4 linked regions of the Anolis sagrei genome follow. The protein of the gene in region 4 purifies or fractionates together with the protein of the main gene of each other region. This does not show direct contact. Links are inferred from orthologs where the notes say so. Each region holds a gene or a part of one and is shown on either strand. Other genes may lie near its edges. The genes, in order: torsin-1A-like, BSG, PPT1 and CANX.

Region 1 (7,578 bases), on a different chromosome or scaffold from region 4:
GTGTTGGGTGTGTCATTATTATTATTATTATTACGATAATTATTTTATCCCTCTCCCTCCATTACGAACTTTTTGTTTCCGTTTGCAGTGTGGCTTTCATTTTCCTTTGAGCAGAAAAGGGCCCGAAAAAAAGTAGATCTTTTTGGGATTCATAGTTCAACGGAGGAGGCCCTGGTTGTACTATACATCCCAATTCAGGGCCACGCTTTTAAACTCTTGGAGCGTGGCCACGTCGTCGGCGTTCAAGCCAGTTCCGTTTGGGGATCGATTAAAAGCAGGCAGTATTTGGAATGTCTTCTTCAGCTGTGTCTGTGTTGAAAATGCAGAAGGCTTTTTAAAACCGGATTTTTGTGTGCGTTGTTTTATTATTATTATTACTATGTTATTAAATGGGGAACAAAGGAGTGAATTAACCCCTCGTACAGGATCAAGTCACAGGGAGAAGCCAGGAATACATTTATTATTGTTGTTATTTCATCAATTCTAAAAAGGTAAAGGTTTCCCCCTTTACCTCTGGGGGTTGGTGCTCATCTCTAAGACGAAGAGCCGGCGTTGTCCATAGACACCTCCACTGGCAGGACTGCATGGAGCGCCGTTACCTTCCTGCCGGAGCAGTACCTATTCCATCTACTCCCATTTACATGTTTTCAAACTGCTAGGTTGGCAGAAGCTGGGGCTAACAGTGGGAGCTCACCCTACTCTCTGGATTTGAACTACAGACCTTTAGGACAACTATTTCATCAGCTCATTAGTTTAATCTGCTGCACCACTGATACTAAGAAGCCCTTATTTATTCCAATATAAACATCTCCAAAAAATGAGATTCACAGGTACTTTTGGAAACAGAAATACAGCTTTTTTCTGTTTTGATGATACTGAAATTAGTGAGTGCCTTAGAACTGATGAAATAAAGTATTATTATTATTATTATTATTCCAAGAGTAAAAGAGAGAGGGGTCCAGGGGACACTTCCACCTTGTCTCCTGTGCTATTCTAATATAATACAGTGTAATATAATATATTGTCTATACAGATAATATTTATAATATTATAATGTAATGCAATATAATACTAATAATAATTTAATTATAAATTTATATTACATGTAATATTACTAATAATACAATATAATGGTATAGTACAATAGAGTAATATTTAATACTGATGTTGTACTATGTCGATAATATAATAGTATATTGTATGTATATATACCTTGTAAGCTACTCTGAGTCCCCTTCAGGATGAGACTGGCGGCATATAAATTTCATAAATAAATAAAAAGCAGGGATATTATTATTATTATTATTATTACAATATAATGGTATAGTACAACGTAGTAATCTGTAATACTAATATTATGCTATTATAATAATATAATGTTTTTTATTTACATATTACTTGTAAGCTGCTCTGAGTCCCCTTCGGGGTGAGAAGGGCGGCATATAAATGTCATAAATAAATAAATAATATCCTACTTTTAAAAAACTATTATTTTAATTATTATTCTAAGAGAGTTAAAAGTTATTAATGTCGTCATCATCCTTTTTCCTCTCTTAGAAGAGATGGAATTATTAAAAGCAAAGCTTATTATTATTATTATTCTATGATTAAAAGCAGATTGTCGTTAATAATAATATTTTGCTTTTTACTACTACTAATAATAATTTAATTTACCATGTGTAAATTAAAACCTAAGACATAATAAACCTCAAAAACAGAATTAAATACAGGACTACGATGAAAAAGCTGTTAAAATACATTAAACTCTTGCAATTAAATTTAGGACTATTAATTTTTTTTAAAAAAAAACCCCATTAAAATAGAAATAGAAATGCAGCACCCCCCTAGGCTCAGTTATTAAGTGGGAAAATATCTTTAAAACCAAATAGGGAAAGGAATAAATCTGGTTTAAAATTAGCAAGAGGGCGCAATGCTCGGTGTGTCCACATAGTATTACACATAGTAGTCCTGGGCAGAGAGATACCCCATAGGCGTCAATAGAGGTGCACAATACCAAGGGGGCGCAATGCTCAATGTGTCCCCCGGAGGGCGGCAAAGGATTGCACATCCTGGACAGAGAGATGCCCCATACTTACTTCTTACTTTACTTAGGCGATCCCTCGTAGTCTGAGGATGATGGTCCTCCAAGTGTAGCATTCTGGCAGTGGGGCCATAGGGGACTGTGGAGCCCTATTCTTGACCCACATGTTCTCCTGCAGTGAGGGCATCGGTTTCCAGGTGGAAGGCCGTCCTGGTTGGGGTTGGCTTGACGTGCCTTCCTCTTGGCATGTATCTCTCTTTCGCCCTTCATTTGTGCCTCTTCCAATTCTGCAGCACTGCTGGTCCCAGCTGACCTCCAGCTGGAGCACTCAAGGGCCAGGGCTTCCCAGTTCTCAGTGTCTATGCCAGAGTTTTTAAGGTTGGCTTTGAGCCCATCTTTCAATCTCTTTTCCTGTCCTCCAACATTCTGTTTTCCATTCTTGCGTTCGGAGTAGAGCAACTGTTTTAGGAGACGGTGGTCAGATATCCAGACAATGTGGCCGGTCCAGCAGAGTTGATGACGGAGGACCATTGCTTCGATGCTGGTGGTCTTTGCTTCTTCCAGCACGCTGATGTTTGTCCACTTGTCTTCCCAAGAGATTTGCAGGATTTTCCAGAGGCAGAGATGCCCCATAGGTTTCAATGGAGGGGCAGTATTATATGATTTATTTACGACATTTCTATGCCGCCCTTCTCATCCTAAAGGGGACTCGGAGTGGCTTACAAGATATATATGCATACAATATATTATATTATTAGCAGAGCACAATATCAGCATTATATATTTGTATACTGTATTATACCATTATATTGTAATATTATTAATAATATAACATGTAATATAAAATATAGAAATATAATGAATTATTATTAGTAGTATATTGCATTACATTATAATCTTATAAATATTATTAATAATACATGTAATATATATATAATTAGAATACCATATTAGTAGCATATTGTATACACTATATATATACATATTATTAATAATACATGTAATATATACAAATATTATATCATATTATTAGTATGTTGTATACACAGTATATATACATATTATTAATAATAGATGTAATATATACATATAATTATAATGTGATATTATTAGTATTATATTGTATACACAGTATATATATAAATATTATTAATAATAATTTGTATTGGATATGTGTTTTATGCTTTTAAACTGAATATTGTTGTTTTTTAAGTGTTGTAAACCGCAATGAGTCGCCGATTTAGGCTGAGATATTAGCGGTATACAAGCGCATTAATAAATAAATAAATAAATAAATAAATAATAATACATGTAATATATAATTATAATATATTATTAGTATTATATTGTATACACAGTATATATATAAATATTAATAATACATGTAATATATATATAATTATAATATCATATTATTTGTATTATATTGTATACACAGTATATATAAAAACATTATTAATAATACATGTAATACATATGTATATATATACATAATTATAATATATTATTAGTATTATATTAAATACAGTATATATATACATATTAATCATACATGTAATATATACATATAATTATTAGTATTATGTTGTATACACAGTATATATATATACTATATATTATATTATACTATATTATTTTATTATCATAGCATATAGAATTGGGAAAGGTAGATTGAATAGGCAGGGCAGTGTGTATCCAAAGTATAATAAAGTGCATTATTATTAAATAAGCCACGCCCCTCGCTCCGCCCATTAGGGGGTAGCTAGAATGGGATAGGCTGGGTGTGTTGAGGAATAGGCCACGCCCCTCGCTCCGCCCATTAGGGGGTAGCTAGAACGGGAACAGCAGTGTATTAAGCGTTAGGCCACGCCCCTCGCTCCGCCCACTGGTATGGCTAGAATGGAAAAGGCAGTGTCTATCGAACAATAGGCCACGCCCTTCGCTCCGCCCATTAGGGTTACTAGAATGGGAATGGTGTATTAAGCATTAGGCCCCGCCCCCTCGCCCCACCCACTGGTGTGGCTAGAATGGGAAAGGCAGTGTCTATTAAGCAATAGGCCACGCCCCTCGCTCCGCCCACTGGTGTGGCTAGAATGGGAAAGGCAGTGTCTATCAAGCAATAGGCCACGCCCCAAGCTCCGCCCACTGGTGTGGCTAGAATAGGAAAGGCAGTGTCTATCAATCAATAGGTCCCGCCCCTTGCTCCGCCCATTGGTGTGGCTAGAATGGGAAAGACTATCAAGTAATAGGCCACGCCCCTCGCTCAGCCCATGTGGGAGACTAGAATGGGTTTGTATTGAGGAATAGGCCACGCCCCTCGCTCCGCCCATTAGAGGTGCTAGAATGGGAAAGGCAGTGTGTTTGGGAATAGGCCCCGCCCCTTCGTGCTGCTGGAATGGGATAGGCCGTGAGTCTCGTTTAAGCCACGCCCCCCTCCTCCCCGCGGGCCAATCCCGTCGCTGCGGCGTTGAACTCCCGCCCGGCCCCAAGATGGCGGCAGCGGGACCGGAAGCGCCTTCCCTGAGGGCCCTCCGCCGCCAGTAGAGCGGAAGTGCCCGTCGTGAGGCGATGCGGTGGCGGGTGTGGCTGGCGACGTGGGTCTTGTCGGCGGGCCTGGCCGGGGCAGTGGAGCCCTTGAGCCTGAGCCTGGCCCTGGCCGGCGCCGCCGCCTCCGCCTTCACGGGCTTCCTCTCCTACCCGCGCCTCTACTGCCTCTTCGCCCACTGCTGCCACCAAGGGGACGGCGCCCAAGTCCAGCCAGGTCAGTCAGGCAGAGGCCTACCTGGCTGCCTGAGGGGCTGTCACCTCAGAAAGTGGGAACTGTATTAACATAATAATGTCATGCTTATATTGTCACTATTAGAATAGTGCTATTATTTCTTCCTTAGTATATATTATTATATTGTTATATTATCATTATTGTGAATACTTATAATATTGGTAATATTTATTTATTTATCGTCTCATCAGCAACCATTGTATTACAATTCTAACAGAGCAAAACAAACACACAGACTAAAAAGAAAAAGGAAAAAAAAACACACAGATTTTGCAAATTTGGTAGTTGGTTAAATGTCCTTTGACCAGTATCTGGCCACTTGGAGTGCCTCTGGTGTTGCTGCAAGAAGGTCCTCCCTTGTGCATGTGGCAGGGCTCAGGGTGCATTGCAGCTGGTGGTCAGTGGTTTGCTCTTCTCCACACTCACATGCCGAGGATTCCACTTTGTAGCCCCATTTCTTGAGATTGGCTCTGCATCTCGTGGTGCCAGAGCGCAGTCTGTTCAGTTCCTTCCAAGTCGCCCCGTCCTCTGTTCGACCAGGGGGGAGTCTCTCATCTGGTATCACCCTTGGATTGAGGCTCTGGGTTTGAGCCTGCCACTTTTGGACTCTCGCTTGCTGGAGTGTTCCAGCGAGTGTCTCTGTAGGTCTTAGAAAACTATGTCTTGATTTAAATCGTTGACATGCAGGCTGACACCCAAACAGGGGATGGGCTGCAGATGTCTCTGCCTTGGTCCTTTCACTATTGGCTGCTACTTCCCGGCGGATGTCAGGTGGTGCAATACCGGCTAAGCAGTGTAATGTCTCCAGTGGTGTAGGGCACAGACACCCTGTGATAATGCGGCATGTCTCATTAAGAGCCACATCCACTGTTTTAGCATGGTGAGATGTGTTCCACACTGAGCATGCATACTCAGCAGCAGAGTAGCACAGCACAAGGGCAGATGTCTTCACTGTGTCTGGTTGTGATCCCCAGGTTGTGCCACTCAGCTTTCGTATGATGTTTCTAGCGCCCACTTTTTTTTGATGTTCAGGCAGTGCTTCTTGTAGGTAAGAGCACGGTCCAGAGGGACTCCCAGGTACTTGGGTGTGCTGCAATGCTCCAGTGGGATTCCTTCCCAGGTAATCCTCAGAGCTCGGGATGCTTGTCTGTTCTTAAGGTGAAAGGCACATGTCTGTGTTTTAGATGGATTAGGGATCAGGTGGTTTTCCCTGTAATAGGCAGTAAGAGCACCTAGAGCTTTGGAGAATTTCTGTTCTACCATCTCAAAGCTCCCTGCTTGAGTGGTGATGGCACGATCATCAGCATAGATGAAGCTCTCTGTCCCTTCTGGCAGTGGCTGGTCATTTGTGTAGATGTTGAACATGGATGGAGCAAGCACGCTCCCCTGAGGCAGGCCGTTCTTCTGTTTCCGCCATCTGCTTCTCTGGCCCTGGAACTCGACAAAAAAGCTCCTGTTTGGTAGCAGGTTTCCTATGAGGCGGGTGAGGTGGTCGTCCTTTGTGATATTATACATTTTTCTCAGGAGGAGGCGGTGGTTCACAGTCTCATAGGCTGCTGACAAGTCTATGAAGACAGCTCCTGTGATCTGCTGCCTTTCAAAGATAGATAATATTATAATATTATATTTCAAAGATTGGTAATATTATAATGGGGTACAATATAATAATAATAATAATAATAATAATAATAATGCTATTATTTTTCCTTAGTATATGTTATTATATTGTTATATTATCATTATTGTGAATACATATGATATTGATAATATTATAAAAGGATACAATATAATAATATAATAGTGCTGTTATTTTTCCTTAGTATATATTTTTATATTGTTGAATTATCATTATTGTAAATACATATATTTATAATATTATAATGTGGTACAATATAAAAATAAAATATGTATGCACAATAATGACAATAATAATAATAGCGACTGGACTTAATGTCAGGGGAAACCTTTACCATTATTATTATTATTATTATTATATAGTTTATATTACATGTAATATTACTAATAATATTACAGTCTAATGGTATAGTACAATATAGTAATATATAATACTAATATTGTGCAATGGTAATGATATAATATATTGTATTTACGTATTACTTGTAAGCCGCTCTTGAGTCCCCTTCGTGGGTGAGAAGGGCAGCATATAAATGTCGCAAATAAATAAATAAATTGTCATTGTCATGGTGTATATCATTGTGATTATGACAGTAATGATAACAGTCAATATTAACGTAACATATAACTATGTGTATTCATTTGTTGAGGATTTCTGTTCCTGTCAAGCTGATCTCACTTTCCTATCCCTACCCAATTGTTCCACCAATTTTTATGTATCTAAAAACACTCAATAAAGATTTAAAAAAAAAAAAAAAGCTGATCGGTGTGTCTTTTTCTCTCCCCGTCTGCAGTGCTACAGGAGAATTTGGACAAGAAGCTCTTTGGGCAGCATTTGGCCAGGAAGGTGATAGTGAAGGCCGTGACAGGGTTTCTGAACAACTCCAACCCCAAGAAGCCCTTGACGCTTTCCCTGCACGGCTGGACCGGGACCGGGAAGAACTTTGCCAGCAAAATCCTGGCCGAGAGCCTCTACAAAGAGGGCCTCAACAGCAAATATGTCCACCAGTTCATCTCCACCTTGCATTTCCCTCACCTGCAGAACCTCACCCAGTACAAGGTAAAGCACAGAGTCAATGATCTGGGCATCATTCTTTAGAGCTGGTCGGGGTTTTAGTGCAAA
Region 2 (7,659 bases), on a different chromosome or scaffold from region 4:
AGGACCTCAACAAATTAGAGACCTGATTGGCCAAAATTAACAATATGAATTTTAACAAGGACAAACATAAGATACGACACTTAAGCAGAAAAATGAAATGCAAAGGCACAGAATGGGGGACTCCTGACTCAACAACAGTCCCTGTGAGAAAGATCTTAGAGTCCTTGTTGACAGGAAGTTGAACATGAGCCAAGAGTGTGATGCAGCAGCTAAGAAAGGCAAAGGGGTATAGTGTCTAGTTTGAGGGAAGTCATGGTGCCTCTCTATTCGGCTTTGGTCAGACCTATTTTCCCGGAATACTGTTCCAATTCTGGACACTATAGTTAAAAATAGATAAAGATGTTCAGAGGAGGACAACTAGAATGATGAAGGTCTGGAGACCATGAACCCCTATGAGGAACTGGGTATGTTTAACCTGCAGAAGAGAAGGTTGAGAGGAGACATGATCGCCATGCATAAATATGTGAAAGGATGGCATAAGGAAGAGGGAGCGGGCTTGTTTTCAATGGACTCAATGTAGCCATGTGTTCAAATGACAGGAAAGTGATTCCACCTGAACATGAGGCGGAACTTCCTGACTGTAAGAGCTATTGAGCAGTGGAACTCTCTGCCTCAGCATCTGGTGGAAGCTCCTTCCTTGAAAGCTTTTTAAAGTACCATCTGTCAGGAGTACTTTGATTCTGCTTTTCCTGCATAGAGGAAGGGGGTTGGACTAGATGACCCATGTGCTCTCTTCCAACTCTAGTGTTCTATTATTCTTTCCTGGCAGGAAGCAAGTGCTGGGCACAAAGGCAGAGGCCGAGCGGGATGGCGTCAAGGTCCCCACCACGCTGGCAGAATACTGCGTCAAGACCAAGACCCCGGCGCCAGACGAGGGCTCGGACCTCTTCTATGACGACTACTATGAGGACGACGAGATGGACGACGAGGTGGACAGCTGCTATGGCGACGAGGATGATTCCGGCAATGAGGAGTCTTGACAAGGAGGACCCCCTTCCTTGCCCCTTTCCTCCTTCCCCCCATTCCCTTTTGCCCCCTTCCAACGCTGCCTCCTCCTCCTGCTGCTGCTGCTCCTGATAGTAGCAATAAACTATCTGACTCTTTTACTTGAACCCAGGATGGATCCGGCTGAGGCTTTGGAACCCCTGTTTGCCCCGAATTGAAATGAGAGAGAATGAGAGAGAGAGAGAGAGAGAGAGAGAGAGAGAACTCTACCTCAAAAAGGGAGACTTGGTTTCTGCTTGAAGTGGCTGGGATGGGGAGGGAGGAATTCTTTCTTTTTTAGGGGGATAGATTGACCATTTGGCTTTTGGTTTAGCGTTTGTTTTGTGTTTTGTGCAGAGGAGGAGGAGTTAATCATAGGGATTTTTGAGAGGGATTGTTGATTCCCCAGGTGTTTCATTCTCGGTCGCATTGAGACGAAGCACCAAGACGCAGCACTGGGTGTTTTGAACGTTTTTGCTTCCATTTATTTTTTAAAAAACATTTATTACACTATAAGACTTTAATTCTGAATGAGGGGCATCTGAGCTTGCGGATGGAAAGGCACTAAGAGAACCAGAGCACCCCTCCTTCCATTAATTGGTGTTTTCCCTTTTTTTAGAAATGTGGGAATTACAGAGTCCGGTTCCTCACTCAGCCACTGGGAGGCACTGCTTGGCCGTCTTTCCACTGCATTGTCTTTTCACTTTGGGAATGTTTGCGTCCCCTTCAGAATGACAAGAAATGGAGATATTTTTTTTGCGAACATGGGGGGGGGTGCCTTTTCTTTGTAACAATCGTTTTGGGGGGTTTATTTTGCTTTTGTGGTTTTGTTCCGTGTTTCGGGGGAGTTTGGGGTTTAATTGGTTTCTCCCTCTTGGTTTTGAAGCTATTTAATAAAAAGGACTTTGAAAGGAAAGTGCCTTTTGGGGTGGCAGCCTCGCAAACAGCTTGCTTGTGAAGTCTGACTTCAAAAAGTGGTGGGAAAGTTACTTTTCTGAACGGCTTTGAAGTCCCAAAACATAGATTGGGCTGCGGAGAGCAGCCTGGTCCATGGAACGTACTTTTTGTGTTTGATATGTTCTTGATCTTCATCTCCGATGGTGTACTACAGCTATTTAACCTCAGCAGACTGAAAGCCAAAACCAAGTTCACAGTAACATCTGTTATAGAACTCCAGGATGCTGATGATAGATAGCATAGTCTGTACACATTCAGAAGAAGACCTACAAGCCATTCTAAACACCTTTGCAGAAGCATACGAGAAGCTTGGCTTCTCATTGAACATCAAGAAAACCAAAGTGCTTTTCCAGTAGTCACCAGCCAATCCCTCTGCAATGCCAGAAATACAGCTGAATGGTTTAATGTTAGAAAATGTTGACCATTTCCGCTACCTTGGCAGCCACCTCTCCACAAAAGTCAACAGTGACACTGAAATACAACACTGCCTGAGCTCTGCGATTGCAGCATTTTTCCGAAGGAAGCAGAGAGTGCTTGAGGATTGGGACACCCGTAGGGAGACCAAGGTGCTTGCTTATAAAACTTGTTGTCCTCCCAACTCTATATGCCTGTGAAACGTGGACTGTCTACAGATGTCACACTCAACTGGAACAATTCCTTCAGCATTGCCTCCGAAAAATCCTGCAAATCTCTTGGGAAGACACGCAGACAAATGTCAGCATGCTGGAAGAAGCAAAGACCACCAGCATTGAAGCGATGCTCTTACGCCATCAACTCCACTGCTGGTCACATCCGAATGTCCGATCACCGTCTCCCAAAGCGGTTACTATACTCCCAGCTTAAGAATGGAAAACAGAATGATGTTGGACAGGAAAAGAGATTGAAAGGTGGGATTAAAGCTAACCTTAAAAACTGGCATTGACACTGAAAACTGAAGCCCTGGCCCTTGAGCGCTCTGACTGGAGGTCAACTGTGACCAGCAGTGCTGTGGTATTTGAAAAGACACAAATGGAGGGTGAAAGGAAGAAATGTGCCAAGAGGAAGAAGGCATATCAAGCCAACCTTGACCAGGACTGCCTTCCACCTGGAAACCGATGCCCTCATTATGGAAGAACATGCGGGTCAAAAATAGGGCTCGACAATCACCAATGTATCCAATGCCCAGAAACTACACTTACCTTTTTATTTATTTATTTGGAGTGCTTCTACCCCGCCCTTCTCAACCCCCTAGGGGGGGACTCAGGGCGGCTTACAAAAGGCACAATTCGATGCTCAACAATTCACAAAATACAATATACAATTTACAATATAACGATGACAGTTATAACTAATTAAAACAGTCAAATTAAAACAACAAGAGCAATAAAATCATCTTGTGGTCAACGTTCATCAATTCATAAATCCATAATCCATCTAGCAATGTCATTGTCCTTTCTTACTCTGGTCGTCATTGTCTTTTATCCATCTGCCAGCTTACCCAAAGGCCACCTGGAAGGCCATCATACCCAGACAACGAAGGATCGCCTAAGTAAGTACAGCTCCTATCATCCCCAGCCTGTGTGGCCTTATGGTTGGCGTAAACTGTTCATACAGACGTATCGATACAAAGGTATAATCCCGTTCCAACTTGTAACAATTCCCTCTCTTCATAATTTTCCAGAGTAGAGATAAATTTGCTCAGGGCCAGATTAAGGTCAAAGGTGTAAAAGAGTTCCTAAAAACCAGTGGGGGCCTCAGAGGGTATCTGGTCCAACCCTGATGGAGGGCCATCCCATTCTTCTAACGGTCACAAGGAAATGGCAAGCAAATAGACTTGGCCAGGCTTTGTATTGTGAAAAATAGATATTTAAAAGTATATAAACATATAATTTGTATAATTTATAACAAATATTAATACAGAGTACAAATATTAAGGGTTGGCTTTAGCCTGCAGCTAAATTATATATTTTACAGACATATATATTATATTAATAATATGTATTATATATATATAATTATTATAATGCTATATAATATAAAATATATTATATTAAATGTATATACAGACATATATATTATAATAATAATATGTATTGTATATATATAATTATTATAATGCTATATAAAATATATAATTTAGCTGCAAGCTAAAGCTGACAATATGTATGAGTTTAAACTTTTGCAGATGAGATGATATGATAGTCTGCTTTCCTCTTCTAAAGTGGCTGCGGTCTCTTTAAGAATCTGAGTCCTCTAGTGCTATTTACATGAGTAGGTGGGGCTCGTAGTTAGCTCGCACGTTTCATTGGTTTTGGGTAACGCCAGTCGTGAGAATCGGCGCCACGATTGGCCAGTGCCCGTGCTTGACGTAGATGGCAGCGACCGCCTCTTGTGTGTGTGTACGTGACCTGGTGTAGTAGCCTGAGATGCCTTGCGGGAGTGACTTCGGTTTCCGGCCCGTCCTGCCTCCTTTAATCTTTCCTATAGGTGGCTAGCTTGTCGATCAAAGGCCCTTTGAAGCCCCGCCTCCCACCGGGCAGGCTAAAGTATCTGATTGGCTGGGGTTTTTGACGTCACCCTCTCCCCCTTCTTGCCGTCCTCAACCGTCCTTCCTCGCGTGCAATCGGATTGGCCCGCTTTCTCGGGCGGTGGAGCCAATAGCGGCGCCTCTCGGGGCTCGCGCCCGTCGGCCATTGGCTCTTCCTCGGTTTCTCCGCCTCCGGGGGGTTACCAGGCGTCCGCCATTCCTGAGGAGAGGAGCAGAGCGACGGAGCGGCAGAAGCAGCGGGAGCCATGAGGGCGATGGTGGCGAGAAGGCTGGTGCTGGCCTTGGGCGCCTGGCTCTGCTGTGCGAGCGGCGCCTCGGCCGCGGGTAAGAGGTCCAGGCAGGGAAGGAAGGAGGCGCCGAGGCGGAAGGGCTTCCATTCCTGAAGGGAAATATAAGGCTTCGAGGGGACATTTCATATTCTGAGGGGAAATTAAATATTCTGAGGGGGAAATTTCATATTCTGAGGGGGGGGGGGGAGTAATTTTCGGAGAGAAAATTTCATATCCTGCGGGGAAATTTCATATTCTGAAGGTGAAATATAATTGTCTGAGGGGAAATTTCGTACTATGAGGGGAGAATTTAAAATTCTGAGAGGAATATTTGTATTCTGTGAGGGGATTTCATCTTCTGAAGTTGAAATATAATTATCTGAGAAGAAATTTCATATCTTGAGGGGGGAAAATTATATTCTGAGAGGAACATTTCATATTAAGAAGTTGGAATATAATTTTCTGAGGGGGAATTTCATATTCTGAAGTGAAAATGTAGTAACCTGAGAAGAAATGTCATATCCTGAGGGGGAAATTTCATATTCTGAAGGGAAATTTTATATTCTGAGAGGGAAATTTCATATCCGGGGGTGGAGATTTCATATTCTGAAGGCAAGGCCTCTTTAAATTGGGTTTCAAAATCCTCAAATAAAAGGATCTTTGCTCCGATAGCAACATTTAAATAAAAGGATTTTCCCCAGATTTCCTCCATATTCACATACATATACAGGCGTTCCCTGTATTACAAACATCCGACTTACAGTTAAGAACAAGGGTGAGACAAGAAGTGAGAGAATCTACTCCTTGGAAGGGAAAGCCACTTCTGAAAGAATTATCAGGGGGAAAAGGGGTCTCCACTGAATCTTTAGCACCAATCCTTGTTTCCACGTCAAGCCAAATTATCAAAAATCCAATCATCACAGGGACGGGAAGTGGGGTGAAATCTACTGAACAAGGGCACAGACAGAAGGATAACCCCACCTGAGAAGGGATTTCATATCCTGTGGGGAAAATTCTATTCTGAGAAGGAAATTTCATATTTTGAGGGGGGAAGGCAATATTCTGAGAGGGAAATTTAATATCCTTAGGGGGAAATTTAATATTTTGTGGCAGGAATGTAATATTCTGAGAGGAAATTAAATATTTTGAGAAAAAAATAATATCTTTAGGGGGAAATTTCATATTCTGAGAGGAAAGTTCTTATTCTGAGAAAAAAATATATATCCTGAGATGGAAATTTCATATCCCGAGGGGCAATTTCATATTCTGAGTGGGGAAGGTAATACTCTGAGAAAAAATTAAATATCCTGAGAGGAAAATTCCATATTCTGAAGGTGAAATATAATTATCTGATAATCGATTTTATACCATGAGGGGAAATTTTAAAATTCTGTGAGGAATTTTTGTATTCTGAGGGGTGGAGGGGATTTCATATTCTGTAAGCGAAATATAATTATCTGAGAAGAAATTTTGTATCCTGAAGGGGAAATGTTATATACTGAGGGCTAATTTTAAATTCTGTAGGTAAATTTAAAATTCCAGGAGGAAATGTCTTATTTTGAGGGGAAATGTCATATTTTGAAAGTGAACTATAATTATCTGGGGGGAAATTTCATATCCTGAGGGGAAAAATATAATTATTTGAGAAGAGATTTCATATCCTGAGTGGGAAATTTCATATTCTGAGGGTAAATCTAAAATTCTGAGAGGAAAATTCTATTTTCTGAGGTGGAAATTTCTTATCCTGAAGGCAAAATATAATTATCTGATAATAGATTACATATCCTGAGGGGAAATTTCTTATCCACAGGCAAAATCCTGAGAGCTAATTTGAAATTTGAGGGGGATCTTCAGTCTCTGAAGTTTTCATTTCTAAGGGGAAATTCAGGAAATTCACTGTTTGGAGGGGACATTTCCTCAGGGTCTTTATGTCATTGGGAAGTGAAACGGAAGACGGATTTTTATATATATATTAAACTCGCTGGATTCGTATTACGAAGAAAGGATTCACAGAAGGGCGTCCATTTAGCAACATTTAAATAAAAGGATTTTCCCCAGATTTTACCAGGGAAGATGGGGCCTCCATATTCACATACATATACAGGCATTCCCTGTATTACAAACATTCGACTTACAGTTAAGAACAAGAGTGAGACAACAAGAAGTGAGAGAAATCTACCCCTTGGAAGGGAAATCCACTTCTGAAAGAATTATCAAGGGGAAAAGGGGTCTCCACTGAATCTTTAGCACCAATCCTTGTTTCCACGTCAAGCCAAATTACCAAAAATCCAATCATCACAGGGACGGGAAGTGAGCTGAAATTACTGAACAAGGGCACAGACAGAAAGATAACCCCACAGGGTGTTAACCCTTCCCTATGCTATCCAGAGCTAAAGGATATATATGGATATATATATATATATATAGTTAAAAATGTCCCTTTTCAGACTTGCATACAAATTCAATTTAAGAAGAAACCTACAGAACCTATCCTGTTCATAACTTGGGGACTGCCTGTATAGCATAATGCTTAATACAGCCAGCCCTCCATAGCCATGGACTTTGCACCCACAGATTCTGCTGAAGAATTTTTTCTTAAAAAAACCACACAATCATAGACTTTGGAAGAAACCCCAAGGGCCATCCAGCCCAACTCCATCCTTACATGCAGGAAGACCGAATCAAAACAGTCCTGACAGATGACCATTCAGCTTCTGCTGAAAAGCCTTCAGAGAAGTAGACTCCACCGACACCAAGAAGGCATATTCCACTGCCGAACAGTTCTTCCCATCAGGAAGTTCTTTCTAATGTTGAGGTGGAATCCCTCTTCCTGGGGAGATTCCAGTCTTGGAACTGGGAACAGGTAGCGGGAATGAGAGCACCGCTGTCCTGTGCTGTGCTTTTTGGGCAAAGTAAGTAGGG
Region 3 (6,899 bases), on a different chromosome or scaffold from region 4:
TTTTTTCGCTTCCTTTGCTCATTGGCTCCATCTTTCTTTATCTCTTTCCTTCCTTCCTTCTCTTTCTCTCTTTTGTTTCCTCTCTCCTTCCTTCCCTCTTTCACTTTTTTATTTCCTTCTCTCCTTCCTTCCTTCCTTCCTTCTCTACCTTTCTTTCTTTCCTTCTCTCCTTCCCTCCTTCTTCCCTCTTTATCTCTCTCCTTCTCCTTCCTTCCTTCCTTCCTTCCTTCCTTTCTTCCTTCCTTCGCCCTTTCTGTGTATGTGTTTTCTGTGTGTATATATGTGTGTATATGTATATATTTGTGTATATATGTATATATGTGTGTTTGTGTACATATGTGGTTTTGCGCATGGGTTGTAATGTATTTTTTTGTTTTTTGGTTTTTTAAGTCTCTTCTGCAGTATTTTTCAATGTCTTTATGAGTGATAGTTACTTGTTGGCCTGATCGGTGTATTGTGTCCAAATCTGGTGTCAATTTGTCCAGTGGTTTTTGAGTTATGTTAATCCCACAAACGAACATTACATTTTTATATAGAATCAATAAACTTCTTTGTTATTTTATCTTGAATTGGATTTTGTGTTAAGTACAGAGGTGATTCCCAGCCTTGGAGTGCAACAGTGTGTTTAATGTGTCACATTTTATATCCTGATATAAAACCCTTTTGGAGAAGCATGCTACTGATCAAGACCTTTGGTGACCTTTCACCAGCACCTCATGACCCAGAAATTTGCTCCAGTTGTCTTCCTGGGCATCATCTACATATGAAAGATTCAATCACCCATCATCTCTGGGACCAATTCATCTTTATTGGCCCCCATAACCCCAATTGTGCAGAGGATGACAGGATCCATTTGCAGAGCCACCCGTCCTTTGTCTCAATCACATGGACATTACAAAGACACTTGGCAAACACACTCGGACAGATGGCAAGCTGTTTAACCTCAGCAGACTGAAAGCCAAAACCAAGGTTACAACAACATCTGTTATAGAACTACAGACAATGTCGTCTGTGCACATTCAGAAGAAGATCTACAAGCCACTCTAAATACCTTTGCAGAAGCATATGAGAAGCTCGGCCTGTCATTGAACATCGAGAAAACCAAAGTGCTGTTCCAGCAGTCACCAGCCAACTCCTCTCCAATGCCAGAGATACAGCTTAATGGTGTAACATTAGAAAATGTTGACCATTTCCGCTACCTTGGCAGCCACCTATCCACCAAAGTCAACAACACTGCCTGAGCTCTGCGAGTGCAGCATTTTTCCGAACGAAGCAGAGAGTGTTTGAGGACATCTGCAGGGATACCAAGGTGCTTGTTTATAAAGCTATTGTCCTCCCAACCCTGCTATATTCCTGCGAAACGTGGACTGTCTACAGACGTCACATGCAACTCCTGGAACAATTCCACCAGCGCTGCCTCCGGAAAATTCTGCAAATCTCTTGGGAAGACAAGAGGACAAATGTCAGCATGCTGGAAGAAGCAAAGACCACCAGCATTGAAGCGATGGTCCTCCGCAATCAACTCCGCTGGACCAGCCACGTTGTCCGGATGCCTGACCGCCATCTCTCAAAGCAGTTGCTCTACTAGGAAACACTGAGCAGCATTCCATGGAGACAGATACTAAAAGACAAGGGAGTTACGGATGGATGGGAGTTTCTCAAGAGTGAAATACTCAAGGCGCAATTGCAAACTGTGCCAACAAAGAGAAAAAATAGGACAAGTGCAAAGAAGCCAGAATGGATGTCCAAAGAACTTCTAACTGTGCTAAGACACAAAAGAGACATGCACAAGAAGTGGAAAAAGGGAGAAATCACCAAAGAAGAATTCAAACAAATAGCCAACACCTGTAGGGAAAAGGTCCGCAAAGCTGAAGCACAAAACGAGCTCAGGCTTGTCAGGGACATTAAAAACAATAAAAAGGGATTCTTTTCTTATGTCAGTAGAAAAAGGAAAAACAAGGACGCGATAGGGCCTCTTCGAGGAGAAGATGGGGCAATGCTGACAGGGGATAGGGAAAAGGCAGAACTACTTAACGCCTTCTTTGCCTTGGTCTTCTCACAAAAAGAAAGTCATCTTCAACCTCAGCAAGACGGAGTGGATGAGGGATTTGAGGACATCCAACCCCAAATTGGGAAACAAGTCGTCCAGGAATACCTGGCCGCTCTAAATGAGTTCAAGTCCCCAGGGCCAGATCAACTACACCCAAGAGTATTGAAGGAACTAGCGGAAGTCATTTCGGAACCATTGGCAATCACCTTTGAGAGTTCTTGGAGAACGGGAGAAGTTCCAGCAGATTGGAGGAGGGCCAATGTGGTCCCAGTCTTCAAGAAGGGAAAAAAGGAAGACCCAAACAACTACCGTTCGGTCAGCCTCACGTCGATACCAGGCAAGATTCTGGAAAAGATTGTTAAGGAAGTGGTCTGCAAACACTTAGAAACAAATGCAGTCATCGCTAATAGTCAACATGGATTTATCAAAAACAAGTCATGCCCGACTAATCTGATCTCTTTTTTCAATAGAGTTACAAGCTGGGTAGATGTGGGGAATGCCGTGGATGTAGCGTACCTGGATTTCAGTAAGGCCTTTGACAAGGTCCCCCATGACCTTCTGGCAAGGAAACTAGTCCAATGTGGGCTAGGCAAAACTACAGTGAGGTGGATCTGTAATTGGTTAAATGGACGAACCCAGAGGGTGCTCACCAATGCTTCCTCTTCATCCTGGAAAGAAGCGACGAGCGGAGTGCCGCAGGGTTCGGTCCTGTTCAACATCTTTATTAATGACTTAGATGAAGGGCTAGAAGGCAGGATCATCAAGTTTGCAGACGGCACCAAATTGGGAGGGATAGCCAATACTCCAGAGGACAGGAGCAGGATTCAAAACAGATTAGAGATGGGCCAAAACTAACAAAATGAAGTTCAACAGCGACAAATGCAAGATACTCCACTTTGGCAGGAAAAACGAAATGCAAAGATACAGAATGGGGGATGCCTGGCTCGAGAGCAGTACGTGTGAAAAAGATCTTGGAGTCCTCGTGGACAACAAGTTAAACATGAGCCAACAATGTGATGTGGCGGCAAAAAAACCCTATGGGATTTTGGCCTGCATCAATAGGAGCATAGTGTCTAGATCCAGGGAAGTAATGCTATCCCTCTATTCTGCTTTGGTTAGACCACATCTGGAATATTGTGTCCAATTCTGGGCACCACAATTCAAGAGAGATATTGACAAGCTGGAATGTGTCCAGAGGAGGGCGACTAAAATGATCAAGGGTCTGGAGAACAAGCCCTATGAGGAGCGGCTTAAGGAGCTGGGCATGTTTAGCCTGAAGAAGAGAAGGCTGAGAGGAGATATGATAGCCATGTATAAATATGTGAGAGGAAGCCACAGGGAGGAGGGAGCAAGCTTGTTTTCTGCTTCTCTGGAGACTAGGACACGGAACAATGGCTTCAAACTACAAGAAAGTAGATTCCACCTGAACATGAGGAAGAACTTGTGAGAGCCGTTAAGCAGTGGAACTCTCTGCCCCAGAGTGTGGTGGAGGCTCCTTCTTTGGAGGTTTTTAAACAGAGGCTAAACGGCCATCTGTCAGGGGTGCTTCGAATGCAAAATTCCTGCTTCTTGGCAGGAGGTTGGATTGGATGGCCCACGAGGTCTCTTCCTACGCTAATATTCTATGCAAGGCACAGGAGCCTCCTCCAGTTGGACATCTAGCAATGCCTCGTTGCAAAACAGGGATGGGAAGCCCATGTTCCTGGAGAGACATTGCATTTCTTCCTCCGTTCCCATTGCCCCTGCTTCTTGAGCTATGATTGCCATAAGTATTGCAATTTTGCAGCCTCCTTCAAAACACAGCCTCTTGGAAGGCGTTTGGTCACGTGACGCCGTTTCCTCCCTGTCTCGAGGCGGAGATCATGTGATACAGCCAAGATGGCGTCGATCAGGTTGTTTGTGTCTTGTCTGCTGTTCTCAGGAGCCTTTTGCCGGATAGAGTTGGAGAGCCGGGCGATACCGGTGCCTCTGGTGATTTGGCACGGCATGGGTGAGTACCAGCGCCCCCAATTCACGTTTTGTCCTCTGAGGGAAGATTTGTTCCAGAAATTAAAGTAAAGGAAACCGCTTTACTCTGAAACCTGTGAGACAGCTCTGAAAAGGCTTTCATGGCCGGAATCGCAAGGTTGTTGTGAGTTTTCCGGGCTGTATGGCCATGTTCCAGAAGCATTCTCTCCTGACTTTTCGCCTGCACCTATGACAGGCATCCTCAGAAGTTGTGAGGCCTGAGACTTTACAACTTCTGAGGATGCCTGCCATAGATGCTGGCGAAATGTCGGAAGAGAATGCTTCTGAAACATATATATATATATTAGTAGCCGTCAGGGCCGTAGCCAGAAAAAAAATTCGGGAGGGGTTGAAATTTTCAGGGGGGGGGTGAAAATTTTGCAGGGGCAGGTTGAAACCTGCCTTCTAGCTCACGCTGAAGCAAAGAGCACAGCAGGGAGCAGAGCAGCCTTCAATAGCCTGCAGCTCCTCACGTGTCAACCACCTCCACCAAGTCTGGCCTCCTTAATGAGAGCATTCAACACACAAACACACCCAACTTGGTTGCTTCACTACATCGGCTATTGCTGCAAGTAATGACAGTGTGAATAAATTGTCAATATTTAAGGCCTTGCATGGTCTGTGGCCAATGTACCTGAGGGACCGCCTCACCCCCTACCAACCCCAGAGATCCCTCCATTCTGAGGACCAAGATCTATTGGAAATTCCCAGTGTCAAGACCTTGCGTCTAACAGCAACCAGACGCAGAGCCTTCACAGCAGTGGCACCATCACTCTGGAATACTCTGCCACCTGAAGTCCGTGCCTTGCGGGACTTATCAGCTTTCCTCAGGTCATGTAAGACATACCTGTTTCGACGGGCCTTTGATCTCTGATATTGCTGTTTTTAAATTTTTTAAAATTGTGTTCGATTTTAGCCTGTTCTTGTAAGCCGTTCCAAGCCCCAGGGGAGTGGCGGCATATAAGTTCGAATAATACATAAATAAATAAATAAATAAATATTTGCTTGAGGTAGTGCTTGTAGTTCTGGAGGGACTCTTAATTTTTTTGCATCTCATAGCCTTAGCATGGGGATTTGGTTAACCAGTTAATATTCATGAGTAAAGTGGGTTTTTTAAAAAAATCTGAAACATTTCGGGGGGGGGGGTTGAACCCCTAAAACCACCCCCTCGCTACAGGCCTGGTAGCCGTCCCCTGCCATGCGTTGCTGTGGCCGTCTGGTGATCTGGAAAATAGAGTATTTTCTAATATATGTAATTTTTTTATGCTTGTGGGTAAACAGGATTTGATTACGTTTTCTTGCCCTGGTGAAGGGAGTTGGACTGGATGGCCTTAAGTATTTTCTATTGGTCATGGGGTTCTGTGTGGGAGGTTTGCCCCAATTCTGTCATTTGGAGGGTTCAGAATGCTCTTTGGTTGTTGGTGAACTATAAATCCCAGTAACTACAAATCCCAAATGTGAAGGTCTATTTCCCCCAAACTGCATCTGTGTTAATATTTGGGCATATAGAATATTCATGCCAAGTTTGGTCCAGATCCATTATTGTTTGAGTCCACAGTGCTCTCTGGATGTAGATGGACTACAACTCCCAAACTCAAGGTCAGTGCCCACCAAACCGTTGTAGTGTTTTCTGTTGATCATGGGTGTCCTGTGTGACATGTTTGGTTCAGTTCCATCATTGGTGGAGTTCTTTGATTGTAGGTGAACTATAAATCCCAGCAACTATAACTCCCAAATGACAAAATTAATTTTTTGAGTGAAGGACATACATTGGGTTGTTAGGTGTATTGTGTTCAAAATTGGTGTCCATTGCTCCAGTGGTTTTTGAGTTCTGTTAATCCCACAAACGAACTTTACATTTTTATTTATATAGATTATTAATAAAATGGTCCAGAGACCCTAATTATTTATTTTTATTTATTTACAGAGCGGCTAACAAAGGCAGCAATTTGATGCCACAATCAATAACACAGTCTAAAACCATAAATACATGCAGAGTTAAAACAATAGCAGTTAATTATAACCAAATTATCATAAGTCATTAAAACAATACTCAGTCCGCAAACCCACTGATAGAACCATAAAACCGTATCCTCATACATATCGTCTTGCCAATCCATTTCCAGTCAAAGTGCTGCTTTATGTTTATTGTCCGAAAGCCTGGTCCCAAAACCAAGATTTTAATTTCTTCCTGAATGCCAGGAGGGATGGGGTCGATCGTATTTCATTTGGAAGCGCGTTCCACAGGCTGGGGGCTACAGCCGAGAAGGCCCTGTCTCTCGTCCCCGCCAGCCGCGTTTGCGATGTTGGCGGGAGCGAGAGCAGGGCCTCCCCGGATGATCTTAAGTTATGAGTTGGGACATAGAAGCAGATGCATTCGGACAAGTAAGCTGGGCCAGAACCGTATATTACACTGTAGCATACAAGTTATATAGGTAATGATACATCTAGTGGATAAAATTTGCAAACAGTATAAGCGCAAAAGCTGGGTTGCAGTTAAACATCAAAAAAACCAAGATTATGGCAACAAGAATGATTGACAACTGGGAAACAGAGGGAGAAAACGTGGAGGCAGTGACAGACTTTGTATTTTTAGGTGTAAAGATTACTGCAGACGCAGACTGCAGTCAGGAAATCAGGAGATGCTTACTCCTTATGAGAAGAGCAATGTCCAATCTCGATAACATAGTGAAGAGTAGAGACATCACACTGGCAACGAAGATCCGCGTAATTAAAGCTATGTAATAATAATAGTAATAGTAATAATATTAGAATATTATAATTATAATTATATATTTACATTACATGTAATATTACTAATAATATTACAATATAATGGTAT
Region 4 (6,885 bases):
CTTGCCTACCAAAAAGTTGATGGCTCGAATCTAGGGAGCGGGGTGAGCTCCCACTGTTAGCCCAAGCTTCTCCCAACCTAGCAATTCAAAAGCATGTAAATGTGAGGTCAATTGGTATCGCTTCTACGGGAAGGTAATGGCGCCCCATGCAGTCATGACCTGGCAGGAGTCTACGGACAACGCTGTCTCTTTTTCTTAGAAATTGAGATGAGCACCATACCCCAGCACCAGACACAAATAGACTTCATGTCAAGGGAAAACTTTTATCTTCTCCTACTAAGCTTTACAAGGTCTTGAACCTTCTCTGCCAAAAAAAAGGCTGGCTGCTTCCCCAAACTATGTCACCCAGGATTCCCATGGCAGTGAATGGGGTGTCAAACTGCATTCATTCCACAGGGGAGACACAGCTTGAGTAACACATGCACACATCCCACAATACACAGAATGTCAGAGTTTGCAGTTTCAATGCTGTGGGATCCTGGGAGTTGTAATGTGGTGAGGCACCAGCATTCTTGGGCAGAGGAGGTCTCGTAAAACCACAAGTCCCGCGATTCCATAGCCTTGAGCTGACAGAGTCCAAGGGGCGCCAGCGTCAAGCTATGGCATCTGCACCAATCCTGCAGTGTACTTATTTATTTGCGATATTTATATCCCACCCGTCTCACCCCAAAGAGGACTCAGAGTGGCTTACAAGTTATATGTACATTGTTGTTGTTCATTCGTTCAGTTGCTTCCGACTCTTCGTGACCTCATGGACCATCCCACGCCAGAGCTCCCTGTTGGCCGTCACTTCCCCCAACTCCTTCAGAGTCAAGCCAGTCCCTTCAAGGATACCATCCATTCATCTTGCCCTTGGTCAGCCCCTCTTCCTTTTTCCTTCCATTTTTCCCCAGCATTATTGTCTTCTCTAAGCTTTCCTTTCTTCTCATGATGTGGCCAAAGTACTTCATCTTTGCCTCTACTATCCTTCCCTCCAATGAGCAGTCGGGTTTTATTTCCTGAAGTATGGACTGGTTGGATCTTCTCGCAGTCCAAGGCACTCTCAGAACTTTCCCTCAACACCACAGTTCAAAAGCATCTATCTTCCTTCGCTCAGCCTTCCCTATGATCCAACTCTCACATCCGTAGGTGACAATGGGGAATATCACTGCTTTGACTATGCGGATCTTTGTTGCCAGTGTGATGTCTCTACTCTTCAGTATTTTATCAAGATTGGACATTGCTCTCCTCCCAAGAAGTAAGCGTCTTCTGGTTTGCTGGCTGCAGTCTGTGTCTGCAGAAAATTTTGCACCTAGAAATACAAAGTCTGTCACGGCCTCCACGTTTTCTCCCTCTGTTTGCCAGTTATCAATCAATCCGGTTGCCATAATCTTGGTTTTTTAGATGTTTAACTGCAATCCAGGTTTTGTGCTTTCTTCTTTCACCTTGATTAGAAGGCTCCTCGGCTCCTCCTCGCTTTCAACCATCAAAGTGGTATCATCTGCATATCTAAGGTTGTTAATGTTTCTTCCAGCAATTTTTACCCCAGCCTTGCATTCATCAAGCCCCGCACATAGCATGATGTGTTCTGCATACAAGTTGAATAGGCTGGGTGAGAGTCTACAATATATTATATTATTAGCATATTACAATATTAGTATGATATATTACTATATTGTACTATATCACTATACTTTATTATTATTAATATTACATGTAACATAATTATTATATCATTAATAGTGGGTTAAACCCCTGTGCCGGCAGGACTGAAGACTGACAGGTTGCAGGTTCGAATCCGGGGAGAGGCGGATGAGCTCCCTCTATCAGCTCCAGCTCCTCATGCGGGGACATGAGAGAAGCCTCCCACCAGGATGATAAAACATCAAATCATCTGGGCATCCCCTGGGCAACGTCCTTGCAGACGGCCAATTCTCTCACACCAGAAGCGACTTGCAGTTTCTCAGGTCGCTCCTGACACGACAAAAAAAATTTATGAGCACAGCACAATATTAGTATTATATATTACTATAGTTGCTGGGGGGAAGGGCTCTGATGACCCAGGAGACATGTTGGAACTGTCTTCCTGGCTCCCCTTCTTCACTCTGGACCCAGAGCAGCAATTGGTGCTGGGGGGATGGGCTCCGATGACCCAGGAGAGATGTTGGAACTGTCTTCCCTGCTCCCCTTCTTCACTCTGGACCCAGGGTTCCCAACTGATGACCCAAGAGACACGTTGGAACTGTCTTCCCTGCTCCCCTTGTTCAATCTGGACCCAGAGCAGTAATTGGTGCTGGAGAGGGGCTGCCAAACTGATGACCCAAGAGACATGGTGGAACTGTCTTCCTGGTTCCCTTTCTTCACTCTGAACCCAGAGCAGCAATTGGTGCTGGAGAGAGGAGCTCCCAACTGATGGCCCAGGAGACACGGTGGAAGTGTCTTCCTGGCTCTCCTCCCCAGTGCAGATACACAGGAGGCCCCCTCCCCGCTATGAGCAGCCCCTCCACAAAATGAAACACTCGCCCACCCCATCCCCTCCCCCCGTAAAAAGGCGAGGGGAGGTCCCTCAAGGTCCCACCCGAGAGGCGAAGAGATAAGCCACGCACAGGCCCGCAACGACACCTTCCCCCAAGAGGCCCGCTCTAGAAGGCCCTAGAAGTTTGGCCTGCGGAGGGACCCGGCGCTTCTCCCCCTCCCCCTTCTTTCTCTCTCCCTCATTCCAGCCCACTCAGTACCCACAGCCCCCAACGGACACACCCTCCGTGGGACACTTCGCCTCCCGCTCTTGCCGCCTCCAGTGCGTGCCCCAGAGTTCCCTGCGCGAGAGGAAGAGGGCCGCTCTCCTTCTCTCCCTCCACCCCCCCCCCTCATCCCCCGCCGCAACATTCTATCCCAGGCAGAAACGAAGGGAGGGCCTCCTCGCGGGAGATACTCTCTCACTCACCTCGCTCCACGCGCACAGCTCGCCCGCCGAGGCTCCTCCGAGAAACCCCCTCGCACCTCCTGCCGTCACGTGCCTCCGCCCGCGCGCGTTGGTCCGTTGCCTGCCTGCCTGCCTCACACTCTCTCCTCTCTCTCTCGCTCTCTCTCTCAGCCGCTAGCTCCGCCTCCCACGCCCCGAGACTTCCTACTCTCATTGATTCAGGCAAAGGGAGTCTTCCCGCCCCTCCGCTCTGATTGGTTAGACCACGCCATCACTCTCCGCCGCTCTCGCCTTAAGCCCCGTCCCTACGGCGCTGCCCTTCGTGGAGCGCTGCCATTGGCTGAGCGGCTCCGACGGAAGCGCCCGTGGGTTGGCGGGCGAGCCGGAGTAGGCGGAGCTTGAAGGACGAGGGAGCCTCTCCGTTCTTAAAGTGACAGGAGAGCGTACCTCCTGTGGACCGTAGTAAGAAGGAGTGGGCTGGCAGGGGCCTTGTGGGTGTCTGCTGCAGAGGGCCCTTCCAGACAGGCCCTATGTCCCAGGGCCTGATCCCAGGTTCAGATTATCTGGCAGTAGCAATTCTTATAATCCCGTTTAAAGCAGAACACCTGGGAATCAGATCCTCGAATATAGGGCCTTTCTGGAAGGGCCCTGAGACATTCAGAGCAGAATATAGTAATGAAGAGAATGCATTGGCATCAAGTGCAGACATATATAAGCGAGATTGGTGGGGACGAGGGACAGGGCCTTCTCTGTGGTGGCCCCCCGACTCTGGAACTCTCTCCCCAAGGACATCAGACAAGCCCCAACGTTGGCAGTCTTTAGGAATAGCTTAAAAGATGTGGTTGTTCCAGTGTGCATTCCCAGAATAGGAAACTCCAAGCATCATATCCCAAATGCACTTTATTAGAGATTTAAGATTGTCTGCATACCGCACCTATCTCCAAAAATCTATCCATTTCACCTGGTCATGTCCAGCATTTTTAAAATTTTTAATCATTACATTTGGCCCGGCCTTAGTTTTTAAATGTGTCATGGTGTTATTATCTAATGTTTATTGCTATTGTTTTAATGTTTATTGCTTTGTTTATTGTTGTATTTGTTATGCTGTTTTACTTATGTATTGGGCCTCGGCCTCTTGTAAGCTGCACCGAGTCCTTCGGGAGATGTTAGCGGGGTATAAAGGTTTATTATTATTATTATTATTATTATTATTATCTCTTGAAATTAACTCCTAAGCAGAGAACAATACTAAATAGTACACAATTGAACACCTAAACACCTAAAATATATGATCATCGCAATAAGAATAAAAATATTTGTTAACTGCCTCAAGGCTCACAGCATAAAACACATATATCAGAACACACCACTGTATCATACCCCAAAACATGGTAGTATATAAAGCTAGAGGTTTCTCCTGACATTAAGTCTAGTTGTGGCCAACTCAGGGGTGGGGTTTATCTAAGCCAAAGAGCTGGTGTTGTCCATAGACACCTTCAAGGTCATGCAGCCAGCACAACTGCATGGAGCACCATTACCTACCTACCTATTGATCTACTCACATTTGCATATTTTCAAACTGCCAGGTTGGCAGAAGCTGAGACTAACAGCAGGAGCTCACCCCGCTCCCCAGATTCGGTCAGCAAGTTCAGCAGCCCAGCAGTTTAACCCACCACACCACCAGGTTTACAAAGCAGCATATATAAATATAAACACTAAAATTGGATTAAACGTGGAAAATATTTACAATAAATAGTTAAAGCAGATTAAAATATATAAAACATTTCTCAGCATTCCTGATTCAGTCTTTAAAACTTTTTTTCTTTACAAGGGCCGGGTGTTATTTGCTTGGCTTTATAGTCCATGAATACCTTTGTCTAATAACATTTATTTTCTTGAAGCAAAGTGTGTCCCAAGGCCGTTTTTCCTCCGACTACCCTTATTCTGTCCAGCAGAAAAGACCTCTCTAATTGAAGCCTCTAGAAAAGGCAATTGCCCTTCACAAAAGAATTCATTTTCACCAAACTGCATTCAAAATATCAGATCTGGCAATATGTTCGCATTAAGTAAAATTACATCTTTCTCACCATCATTCCAATCCCAATGCTGTTTTAAAACATCCAGGTAGAAAGACGACAAGAAGAAAAAGGTTGCTCAGGGGAATACATGTTTTGTAAAAAATAAAAAAAAAAGAGCTTTGTTAACTGAAATATGTATGTGCTAATCTTGATATAAGCTTTGTAAAACTATGGCAATAAGTGTATAGCCTACTACCAGCTTTCGCTGATACACCATCTGTGCCCCTGCCTAGATTTGGATGACCTAAAGATGGTAGTGCATGCGCTGGTAACCTCAAGGATGAACTTCTACAGTGCCCTTTACACTGGGCTACCTTTGTACCAAGTTCAAAAGCACAGCAGACAGATTGGCTACAGGAACATTCGGGAGTTAGCATATTACACCTATCACAGAGTCAACGCATTAGCTGCCAATTAGTTTCCAGGCAAAACAAAAAGTGTTGGTTGTGATCTTTAAAGCCCTATTGTCAAAGGGCTTTAAAAGCCAGAATTTCGTGACCGGAATCACTGGGTTGTTGTAGGTTTTTTGTCCAACTGCAACTCCCAAAACTTCTCAAGATTAGCAAGGCTTTTGGGAATTGAATTTCCAACATCATGGAGGGACAGCCAATTGCTACCACTAGATTAAGCCAAGGTTCTGTTTCTACTTTGTAGTTTGGTTCTTAATTCCAACCACAATATTTAATTTCCTATTTAAATTCTTCACTTTTTCACCAGATGGCACTATTCACAAAGTCATGGGTCTGTTACTCAATACAATACTGTGCAAAGCTCCAACATTTTTTAAAAATATTTATTTTGCAATTAAGAGTGACTATATAGTGATAATTACGTGAGGAGTTGATTCAGTAAACACCACACCTATTGTCTAACCTGATGTTCTGGTTTAGTACTCCATTTCCGGGTGTTTGTGGACCCCCCCCCCCCCCCCATGTTTTAATACTGGTTAAAATAGTACAGCAAATTCATGTGTGAACAGAAGTCTAATTCAGTTACTTTTAAAACCATACAGAATGCTGCCCAACATTCAGCTGGAGTATTAATTTTTCTTGGGTGCAAAGAACTTACACCATGAATGCAGATTAGTGAGAGATGAAGCTTCTTAATCTTATTTATTTATGTATTTATGACATTTATATGCTGCCCTTCTCATACCGAAGGGGACTCAGAGTGGCTTACAAGATATAGATATATATACATACAATATATTATATTATTAGTGTAGTAAAATATCAGTATTATATTTACTATATTGTACTATACCATTATATTGTAATATTATTAGTATTGCATGTAATATAAAATATATAATTATAATAACATATTACTGTTATTAGTATTATATTGCATTATATTATATTGTTAAAACTATTATATGTATATACAATATATTATATTACATTATATTATATTATATTATTAGCATAGTACAGGAGACAAGGTGGAACTGTCTTCTGGCCCCCTCTCTCTTCACCCTGACCCAGAGCAGTAGTGGATGCGGAGGGAGGGAGCGGGGCTCCCAACTGATGACATAGCATAGGAGACAAGGTGGAACTGTCTTCCGGCCCCTTCTCTCTTCACTCTTCTTAAGCACTAGATGTGGACAGGGAAGGAGTTCACAGAGTGTAGCATAATTAGACTAAGTTTTATTGCACTCCCAGGTATATCTTTTTGTGAGATTTCAGGCCAAAAGGTAAAAACAGGCACTAACAAAAAGAAAAATATATGGTGGGAATAATTTAAATTATCCAAACAGCTGCTGTGCCAAGTCCCTACTAACACCATCTTTCAGATCAGCTGAGAAAGCTGTGCCGAGAGTGCCACACAGTCATATTGCCCACCAGCTTAACATATAATGCTTTATCAATTGTAACACCCTAGTTATGATACTTCTGCCAGAAATCC

The links.
Region 1: the proteins of CANX (region 4) and torsin-1A-like purify together in Homo sapiens (affinity purification with mass spectrometry; 4 studies listed by BioGRID and IntAct, counting the BioPlex papers as one, with this or other methods). This does not show direct contact. The link is inferred for Anolis sagrei from reciprocal best matches to the Homo sapiens genes CANX and TOR1A.
Region 2: the proteins of CANX (region 4) and BSG purify together in Homo sapiens (affinity purification with mass spectrometry; 3 studies listed by BioGRID and IntAct, with this or other methods). This does not show direct contact. The link is inferred for Anolis sagrei from reciprocal best matches to the Homo sapiens genes CANX and BSG.
Region 3: the proteins of CANX (region 4) and PPT1 purify together in Homo sapiens (affinity purification with mass spectrometry; 3 studies listed by BioGRID and IntAct, with this or other methods). This does not show direct contact. The link is inferred for Anolis sagrei from reciprocal best matches to the Homo sapiens genes CANX and PPT1.

Annotation. Positions count from the first base shown.
Region 1 is NC_090031.1:3,865,778-3,873,355, reverse strand, and holds the start of torsin-1A-like, read left to right. Parts: upstream 1-4,566; 5' UTR 4,567-4,609; coding exon 4,610-4,802; intron 4,803-7,249; coding exon 7,250-7,515; intron 7,516-7,578. UniProt on the Homo sapiens protein: Protein with chaperone functions important for the control of protein folding, processing, stability and localization as well as for the reduction of misfolded protein aggregates.
Region 2 is NC_090034.1:52,360,139-52,367,797, forward strand, and holds the start of BSG (basigin), read left to right. Parts: upstream 1-4,647; 5' UTR 4,648-4,713; coding exon 4,714-4,792; intron 4,793-7,659. Other genes in the region: CDC34 (ubiquitin-conjugating enzyme E2 R1), read left to right, coding at 770-980.
Region 3 is NC_090034.1:66,497,905-66,504,803, forward strand, and holds the start of PPT1 (palmitoyl-protein thioesterase 1), read left to right. Parts: upstream 1-3,895; 5' UTR 3,896-3,928; coding exon 3,929-4,040; intron 4,041-6,899. UniProt on the Homo sapiens protein: Has thioesterase activity against fatty acid thioesters with 14 -18 carbons, including palmitoyl-CoA, S-palmitoyl-N-acetylcysteamine, and palmitoylated proteins. In contrast to PPT2, PPT1 can hydrolyze palmitoylated proteins and palmitoylcysteine.
Region 4 is NC_090022.1:86,866,375-86,873,259, forward strand, and holds the start of CANX (calnexin), read right to left. Parts: upstream 3,009-6,885; 5' UTR 2,924-3,008; intron 2,761-2,923; exon of another isoform or gene 2,737-2,760; intron 1-2,736. UniProt on the Homo sapiens protein: Calcium-binding protein that interacts with newly synthesized monoglucosylated glycoproteins in the endoplasmic reticulum. It may act in assisting protein assembly and/or in the retention within the ER of unassembled protein subunits.